2 linked regions of the Oryctolagus cuniculus genome follow. The protein of the gene in region 2 purifies or fractionates together with the protein of the main gene of each other region. This does not show direct contact. Links are inferred from orthologs where the notes say so. Each region holds a gene or a part of one and is shown on either strand. Other genes may lie near its edges.

The links. Proteins that work in one complex are often made in the same cells at the same time.
Region 1: the proteins of CCNB2 (region 2) and PKMYT1 purify together in Homo sapiens (affinity purification with mass spectrometry; 4 studies listed by BioGRID and IntAct, with this or other methods). This does not show direct contact. The link is inferred for Oryctolagus cuniculus from reciprocal best matches to the Homo sapiens genes CCNB2 and PKMYT1.

What each region holds. Positions count from the first base shown.
Region 1 is NC_091450.1:32,464,784-32,468,675, reverse strand, and holds part of PKMYT1 (membrane-associated tyrosine- and threonine-specific cdc2-inhibitory kinase), read right to left. Parts: intron 3,189-3,892; coding exon 2,822-3,188; intron 2,093-2,821; coding exon 1,599-2,092; intron 1,022-1,598; coding exon 915-1,021; intron 821-914; coding exon 648-820; intron 567-647; coding exon 409-566; intron 1-408. UniProt on the Homo sapiens protein: Acts as a negative regulator of entry into mitosis (G2 to M transition) by phosphorylation of the CDK1 kinase specifically when CDK1 is complexed to cyclins. Mediates phosphorylation of CDK1 predominantly on 'Thr-14'. Also involved in Golgi fragmentation.
Region 2 is NC_091443.1:81,969,097-81,973,436, reverse strand, and holds the start of CCNB2 (G2/mitotic-specific cyclin-B2), read right to left. Parts: upstream 3,144-4,340; 5' UTR 2,972-3,143; coding exon 2,948-2,971; intron 1-2,947. UniProt on the Homo sapiens protein: Essential for the control of the cell cycle at the G2/M (mitosis) transition.

The sequences.
Region 1 (3,892 bases), on a different chromosome or scaffold from region 2:
CACTCAGCCACGCGCAGAGACCGCTGTGTCCCTGTGCACAACACACAGGCTCTGAGCCGGACATGAGTGGACTTTCTGAGTGAGGAACTCCGGTGCTTCACGGCTGCTGTGAAGGGGTGGGGTTGCTGTGGGACTTTCCAGGTTCCCGCCTCGCGCTGGCTTACCAGGCACCCGGGATGAAGGAAGACTTCCCGGGGCGGGGGCTCGCCGGGCCTTAGGGGCTCCCTCTACCCAGGGGAGGGACAAGGCTTTATCCCTGGGCCCTGGCAGCCTCTGCCAGGGCGGGAGCAGAGGGACGGCACTGAGTGCCAGGCCTGCTCACACCCTCCTGCCTTGGTTGAGCTCTCCATTCACCACTCCTCCTAGGGCATGGTCGTGGAGTGGTCACTGTGCCCTGCCCTCACCTACCGTAGACTGTCCTCGTCCCAGCTGCTGGAGAGGCTGCCGTCCAGGAGCAGGCTGCAGGGCGGTGAGCCGGGAGGGGTGGCTGGCGGGCCTGGGGGCTGCAGCCAGCTGGCAGGGTGGGCTAGCCCATGCCAGAGCCAGCACAGCAGGGCAAGCAGAGCCTGTGTGGGGAGAGAAGCCTCAGAAGGTGCTGGCCCTGGTCAGGGGGCAGGCACGGCCACCTGGCTATAGAGGGTGCTTACCTGCCACAGGGCCCACCCACGGCTCAGGGCCTCGGCAGCCAGGAACCACAGGACGCTCCAGGGCCGTGGTGGCCTCAGCATGGGCAGGGCCAGCAGGGCCTCAGCAGTGGCCCGCAACTGGGGGTCAGGCTCCAGCATCATGACAAGGACAGAACGGAGCTCGGGGGACAGACCTGCCATGGGGTGGGGCCACATCAGCGTCCCAGAGCACTGATGGCTCTGAGCCCACCATCCTCTCCATGGCAGCCTGCCCCTGCCCGCACTCACCGGCAGTGAACTCAGGGGGCAGGTAGCCCTGGCGCAGCTGCTGCCAGCCCTCCCCACCATGGGGCAGCTCCATGTTGCATGCCACTTCCAGGATGGTGAGACCCAGACTGGGAGGGGCAAGAGGGGACAGAAACAAGCAGGGTTGGCCCCGAGTCACAGACCCAGTCCCAGGCTGCCTCTGCTTGGTGGGAGCGGATAGCTGACTCCCACCATCAGCCAGGGAGGTGGGGAAAGAGCTGGGGAGGGCCCAGCAGCACAGGAACTCCACTGTGGAGTGTGAACCCCATACTCAACACAGCCCACACACTGCTGGGGTAGGTTCACCCTGTGCCCCACCTACTCTGACAGCACCCTGGCTGCCCCATGACTGCTACCATCGCCCCATGGGACCTGCCAACTGCAAGCTTGGGGCATGGCCCTCAGCTCACGGTGCACCCCTCCCTCCAGGCAAATGGCAAAGGTGCCTGGTGTGCAGCAGCAAGGACGAGGCTGATCTGGGCACAGTCGCGCTAGAAGCGGCCTGGTCTGGGAAGCCGCCCCGACTGGGAACTGGGGCAGCACCTCCCAGCGGAGGCTGATCCTGACCTTGCCCAGGAGGCGGCATCCCTCCCAGAGAGGCCTTCTCTCTCCTGATCTCCTCCAGGAAGGCCCCCCCCCACCAGCCCACCACAGCCCAGCCCTCACCTGAAAACATCAGCGGCTGTTCCACAGGAGCCCTGCAGCAGCTCGGGGGCCATGTAGCGGGGGTCTCCCTCCTGGGCCTCGCCAGCCCCGACTGCACCCAGCTCCACCAGCAGCCCAAAGTCACCCAGCTTGCAGCGGCCCCGGGGCCCCAGGAAGATGTTGGCAGGCTTGACATCAAGGTGGACCAGGCCTTGGCCATGCAGGTGCGCCAGGGCGAGCAGGGTGTCCCGCAGGTAGCCCCAGACCTGGGCTTCGGGCAGGCTGGCACCCCAGGCCTCACAGTGCTGCTGCAGACTGGGCCCACACAGCTCCGTCTGCAGGTACAAGATGCCACCCTCCTCCCAGGCCTGCTCCAGCCGCACACAACGTGGGTGCCGCCCCACCTTCTCGTGGCCGCCCACCTCGGCCAGCTTGCGGGCCCGGTCCTTGGGGCCCCGGAACGGCGACATGGAGCGCTTGACTGCATAGAGCCGGCCATCCTCCTTGGAGCGCACCTGGAAGCAAAGTGGTAGCACAGGTGAGGTAGGGGTGGTCCACGAGGGGCGTGGCCACGTGGAGGGACAACAGGCAGGGTCTACTGAGACGCTACCGTGCACAGGGACAGCCAGCTGGCAAGTGTTCTAGAACCCCTGCATGCTACAACAGTGAAGCCGAGACCCAGCATGCAAGCGGCAGGCTGAGCTCTAGGGCGCATTGTTCAGGAGAAAAGCTGGCTACGGGACACAGCGGGCAGTGTGCTCAGTGGGTGAAAAGTGCTTTCCTCCGGGGCGTGGCTGATCCAGGCGCTTGCGCTGTTTGTACTTCTTAACAAAGTCAACTTCACACAGTACTTGGGAAAAGCAAGGGAAAGCTACTCATTTAAAGGAAATATAAATGACTGGAAAATATCTTTTAAGAAACAAAGTTGTGGCCAGGGGTACACAGCACTCAGGGCCAGCTCCGGGGGCCAGGCAGACTTGCCAAGGACCCCAGCACACTGGCTCCAGGGCTAGGGAGATGGCAGCGGCCACAGGGCATGCCAGGCCCTGGACAAGGGGCCAGTGTGCACGAGGCAGCTCTTGGAAGGCCTGCCCCAGGGGATGGGAACACAGCCAACTCAAACCCACAGGAGGGGCTGTCGACCCCGCAGGGGCTGCTGGGGAGGGGCAGGCTGCCCGGGACTCCATGGGGCCAGGGAGCGGAGGGTGGCAAAGGGTCCCCAGGTGGGGCCACCCCTCACTCACCTTGAAGACCTCCCCGTAGGAGCCATGGCCCAGGCGGCCGAGCCTCTGGAAGTTCTGCTGGAAGAAGGATTCTGGCCGGCTCGGGTCGTACCCAGGGCTCTGCAGGGTCTCTGAGGTCTCGCTCCGAAATGACACCCTCCGGGGCTGGGGCTGGTGCCAGCCCGGGGTCCGAGGAGGGAAGATGCGACTGATGGGGATGCTGCCCTTGGCAGGGGGTCGGGGCGGGAGGCTCCGGCTGAGCCCCCCGGGCCTCTTGAGGGAGAAGCCAGGTTCTGCGTGGCGGAAGTAGGCCGGGACTGGGACAGGGGTGCCGCTCAGGGGCGGCGGGGTGCCTTCTGTGGGCACAGGCATGGCCAGCGCAGGAAGCCTGCAGGGGCAGAGACAGAGGCTGAGTGTGGAGCAGTGGGTCCACTCAAACTGCACCTGGCCTGTGGCCCCAGAGAGAGCTGCTCCTATAGCTGCCCCCACTCCCCGCATGTTCTGCTTTCAACACCAAGGCTGAGAGGGCCCTGCACAGTGGCCAGTAAGGGCATGGGACAGGCATTCCCATCTCTACCTCAGAGCCATGGACCTGAGGGTCTCGCAGTTCAGGAGGGAGCCCAGAACCAGGCAGGCTCAAGTCAGATGCCCGCACAGACGGGCCCCAGCTTGGCACAGCCAGCTGCTGCCTGCCAGCTGCACAGCCTGTCCGGGACCCAGAGATGGAAATGGTAACACGGCCCTCTGGCACAACAGCCTGGAGTCCCAAATATTCCTCCTTTCTTCTTCAGTGTGGTGCCAAGGCCCAGCCAGTGAGGGCTTTGTCATAATGGTGTGCAAGCCCCGGGGGCCTCTCCGCACAAGAGGCACAAGCGGTAGAGACGACCCAAAAGCAGGCATCGCAGTCTCTGGACATGGCACTGAGGGCACACAGTGGGTGAGCAAACACGTATGCAAGAAAATCAACCAAATCTTGCTAAGAACAGAGACTGTGTGGCACCTGATCCCTCCCCAGCCCTCAGCTCTATCGACAGGTGTGGCCAGTGGGGCTCCCCCAGCTCCCAGTCAAAGGACAGGGCATCTGCCCAGGAG
Region 2 (4,340 bases):
CCTGTGATAAAGTCCTCCCACCTTACAAAACTGTCTTGAGTATTCAAATGGGCAAGTAAATGATTATTTCTCTTCTAGCACCAATGCCACTTGTTAAAGTCATTTGTTTAAAAAAAAAAAAAAGTTCCGTTATGGGGCTGGTATTGCGGCGTAGCAGGTAAAAGTGTCACCTGCAGTGCCAGCATCCCATATGGGTGCCGATTCAAGTTCCAGGTGCTGCACTTCCAATACAGCTCCCTGCTAACACACCTGGGAAAGCAGCAGAAGATGGCCCAAGTCCTTGGGTCCCTGCACCTACATGTGAGACCCAGAAGCATCTCCTGGCTCCTAGCTTTGGCCTGGCCCAGTCCTGGCCGTTGCAGCCATTTTGGGGGTTAACCAGCAGATAGAAGATTTTCTCGCTCGCTCTCTCAGCCTATCCTCTGTAACTCTCACTTCAAATAAATACATTTAAAAAAAAAAAAAAAACTTCTACAGAGAGTGGTTATAAGTGCAATTAAAGTGAAAAATTAAAAAGGTCTAAACTCAGAAACTGAAAAACTAGAGTAGCTTTATTACGGCAAATCTAGAAATAAGAAATGCTGTTGCAGACATGACCTTACACATGCAGCTTTATAGAATGAGGCTGCCGTAGCAGAGGCTCTTTTTAAGTAAGGATGCTTGAAATGGTGTTCTTGGGTTAAACAGTTTTAGCACTGAGATTCAGGAGACGTTCAAAGTATGTGCAACATGGGGCTGGCGCTGTGGCACCGTAGGTTAATCCTCCGCCTGCAGCATCAGCATCCCATAGCAGTGGCGGTTCTAGTCCCGACTGCTCCACTTCCAGTCCAGCTCCCTGCTATGGCCTGGGAAAGCAGTGGAGGATGGCCCAAGTCCTTGGGCCCCTGGACCCATGTGGGAGACCAGGAGGAAACTCCTGGCTTCTGATCAGTGCAGCTCCAACCATTGCGGCCACTGGGGAGTAAACCAGCAGATGGAAGACCTTTCTCTCTATTTCTCCCTCCATCTGTAACTCTACATCTCAAATAAATAAAATCTTTAAAAGAAAAGTATATGCAACAAAAATTGCTAGTTGATCTTTACCTACTTTAGACAGAGTGTGATTAGAAACAAAACCTCATTTAAAAAGAGCAATGCACACCATAAAGCTTATTATCAAAGTGATAAGCAAAACAGTATCCTATCCCTGAGATTTAGGGGTCCCTCTCCTAAAAGAACTCCCAAACAAGGACTTGAGTGATATACAAAGACAGAGAGGCCAAGGCAAACTCCTTCCTTGAATTGAAAGAATCTTACCACTAAATAACTTGATAGGTTACATTAGAGAAAATGACTTGTTAGTTGGATTTGGCTCCGCAAAAGGGTATGAATTAAACACTGAGTGGACTTATTCAGTACCTAGAATTGCAATTCTCCAAAGTCACACTGTTCAATCTTTCCAGCATCAACTGCCAATTTTAAAAAGTGTTTGAAAATGTAATGCTTATGGGTTGAAACCTGGCAATGTGACTAAATTTAAACCTATCTGGATGGTGACAGGGATTAAGATGGCGCAATAGGGAGGGAAATTACTGCTCTAGACTTGAAGATAGTTTTAAAAAAGGGAGAGAGTGAGTCTCAGGGAAGTGTTAGGGGAAAAAAAGGCAGAGGAAACTCCACACAAATTAGAGGGACACTGTGGACCTATGTGGAGAGTGTGGACACGCACACCTCAGCACCAGCCCTGGAGTGGGACAAGGGGCTGCCGCATACAGTGCCGGCTGCTCCACTTCCTATCCAGCTCTCTGCCACGGCCCGGGAAGGCAGTGTAAGATGGCCCAAGTGCTTGGGCCCTGCACCCGCGAGAGAGACCCGGAAAAAGCTCCTGGCTCCTGGCTTCGGACTGGTCCAGCTCTGACCGTTGCAGCCATTTGGGAAATGAACCAATGGAAGGAAGACCTCTCTCTCACTGCCTCTGCCTCTCTGTAACTCTTTCAAATAAATAAATAAATCTTTAAACAATAAATTAAAAAATAATAAATACAGGGGAAAAAAATCCCGCATCTTGGAAACTCTCCTTCACTTTCGGTCAAGCCAATACCTTTTGTACTAAGAAAACTTAATTCAGTGCTGGCATAAAATGGCTGTTGCTACTTAATTAGGTATGTGTTTGCTATATTTACACTTATAAATGCAGATACTTATTAAAGTGGTGAAAAAAATTCATCTGGAAGGGGAAACTGGCAGCTTTTAACTAGCCTTGCAGCCAGCACGATGGAACTCAGGTGTGTCACGGTCCTCCAGTTCTTAGCGACGGAAAAGTAGGTGCGGGCACACTTCAGCCTCAAGGGGCAAAAATATTCAAAACACTACACAACACTTTGTTTATTGCACAGATCAAGCAAACGGGCCCGGACTCTTCCCTCAGTCTGCCATCTCGGTCCAAGCTATAACCTATCACATGATGGAAGAAATTCCTTTTTTTTTTTTTTTAAGGAGACAAACCCCACATCAGTAAACTCAGCCTGGAGGACTTCGGGGAACAAGGCCAAGAACGCTCTCTGGCGCGATCACAGGCTGGAGGGGGTTCGTCCAGTTCTCCTCCTCCCCACCCCCACCACGGATCCCTAAGCCGGCGAGGGAGTCCGGAGAAAAGGGGAAGGAAACCCTGAGGGCTAACGACAAAGGGCACCCGGGGGCGGCAGCCAGCGGGCGGGAGGCTCACCTGACAGGTGCCACGACCCAAACCTTTCCCTACCCCTCCCCACGCCCCGCAGCGGGTGGGGGCGGGGACGGTGGGACGCCGTCCGCGGGGAGCCCCGGGGGAAGCAGCAGCAGCTGCGGCTGGGACAAAGAGGTTCGGAGCAGAAGAGGCAAAGCCAGAGGCAGCGAGGGCCAGGGGGAAGGGGGAAGGCGGCTCGGCGGGGCCGCAGCCCCGGCCGGGGCGAGGGGGTCCGGGCCCACTCACCGTCGGGCGTCGGAGCAGCGCCATGAGGGACGCGGGAGGCAAGAGGCCCAGTCCGGCCCAGGCGGACTGGAGCTGGCAGGCACTGGCGTCCGCGGCGCCGTTGGAGCTGCACTCCGAGCCCGTACCGCGGAGGATCGTCGGCGAGGTCTCCTAGTTCCAGGATTCAAATACCGCGCCGCTCGCGCCCCCATTGGGCGACCTCACGCACGGCGTGCTCGTTTCATTGGCTAAGCTTGGACGCATTCCCGAACGCTGATTGGCTGAATTTTCATATGCTCCCCCCGTTTGGTTGTCATAGAAACCACCAGTCTCCTCCCCCCCCCCCCCCGCTTTTAAATGACACCTCTGTCTTCATTGAAAAACCCAACCTCTGTGAAAAAACAAAAATGAAAGTTTCGTGAAAGTAGACGTAAGACGCCACCGAATTGGACAAGGCCTCGCCTAGGACGTTCTCCAGGTTTGTATTGGGTGCGCTGAAGCTGGGTCTACGCAAGACCCGGGCAAGACCGCTGCTGACTTTCATTGCTCTTCCCCAAAGACCGGGGTGGATCTGCATTGCCGGGGCCTGCAAGTGTGCTATGTTGCTGAGACGCAAACATGTGCTACAGTAGAGGGAATTGTGGAGTTTCCTCAAATACTAAGATTCCTAGGGAAGCACCCCCCCCCCCCCCCCGGAAAAAAAAGGGACGAGTGATTTGTGTCATTCATGAGGAAGAGAGAGAGAGAGAGAAGTCTTCCATCCGCTGGTTCACTCCCCAGATGACCGCAACAGCCGGAGCTGCGCCGCTCCGAAGCCAGGAGCCAGGAGCTTCTTCCAGGCCTTCCCACACGGGTGCAAGGGCACAAGGACTTGGACCATCTTCCACTGCTTTCCCAGGCCACAGCAGAGAGCTGGATGGGAAATGAAGCAACCGGGACTTGAACCGACGCCCATAGGGGATGCTGGCACAGCAGGCGGTGGCTTTACCTGCTACGCCACAGAGCTAGCCCCTAAATAAATATATCTTTAAAAAAAGAGAGAGAGAGAGAGAGGCTGGCACTGTGGAGTAGCTAGTTAAGCCCCAGCCTGCAGCGCCGGCATCCCAGATGAGCACCGATTTGATTTCCAGCTGCTCCACTTCTGATTCAGCTCCCTGTGAATGCACCTGGGAAGCAGCGCAAGATGGCCCAAGTGCCAGAGCCCCTGCACCCACATAGGAGACCTAGAAGAAGCTCCTGGCTCTGGCCTGGCCCAGCCCCAGCCATTGCGGCTGTTTGGGAAATGAATAAGTGGATGGAAGACCTCTCTCTTTCCTGCTCTCTGTAACTCTGCCTTTCAAATAAATAAATAAAATCTTTAAGAAAGAAGAAAATACCATCACTCTAAGACCTAACTCATTAGCATGAGTTCATG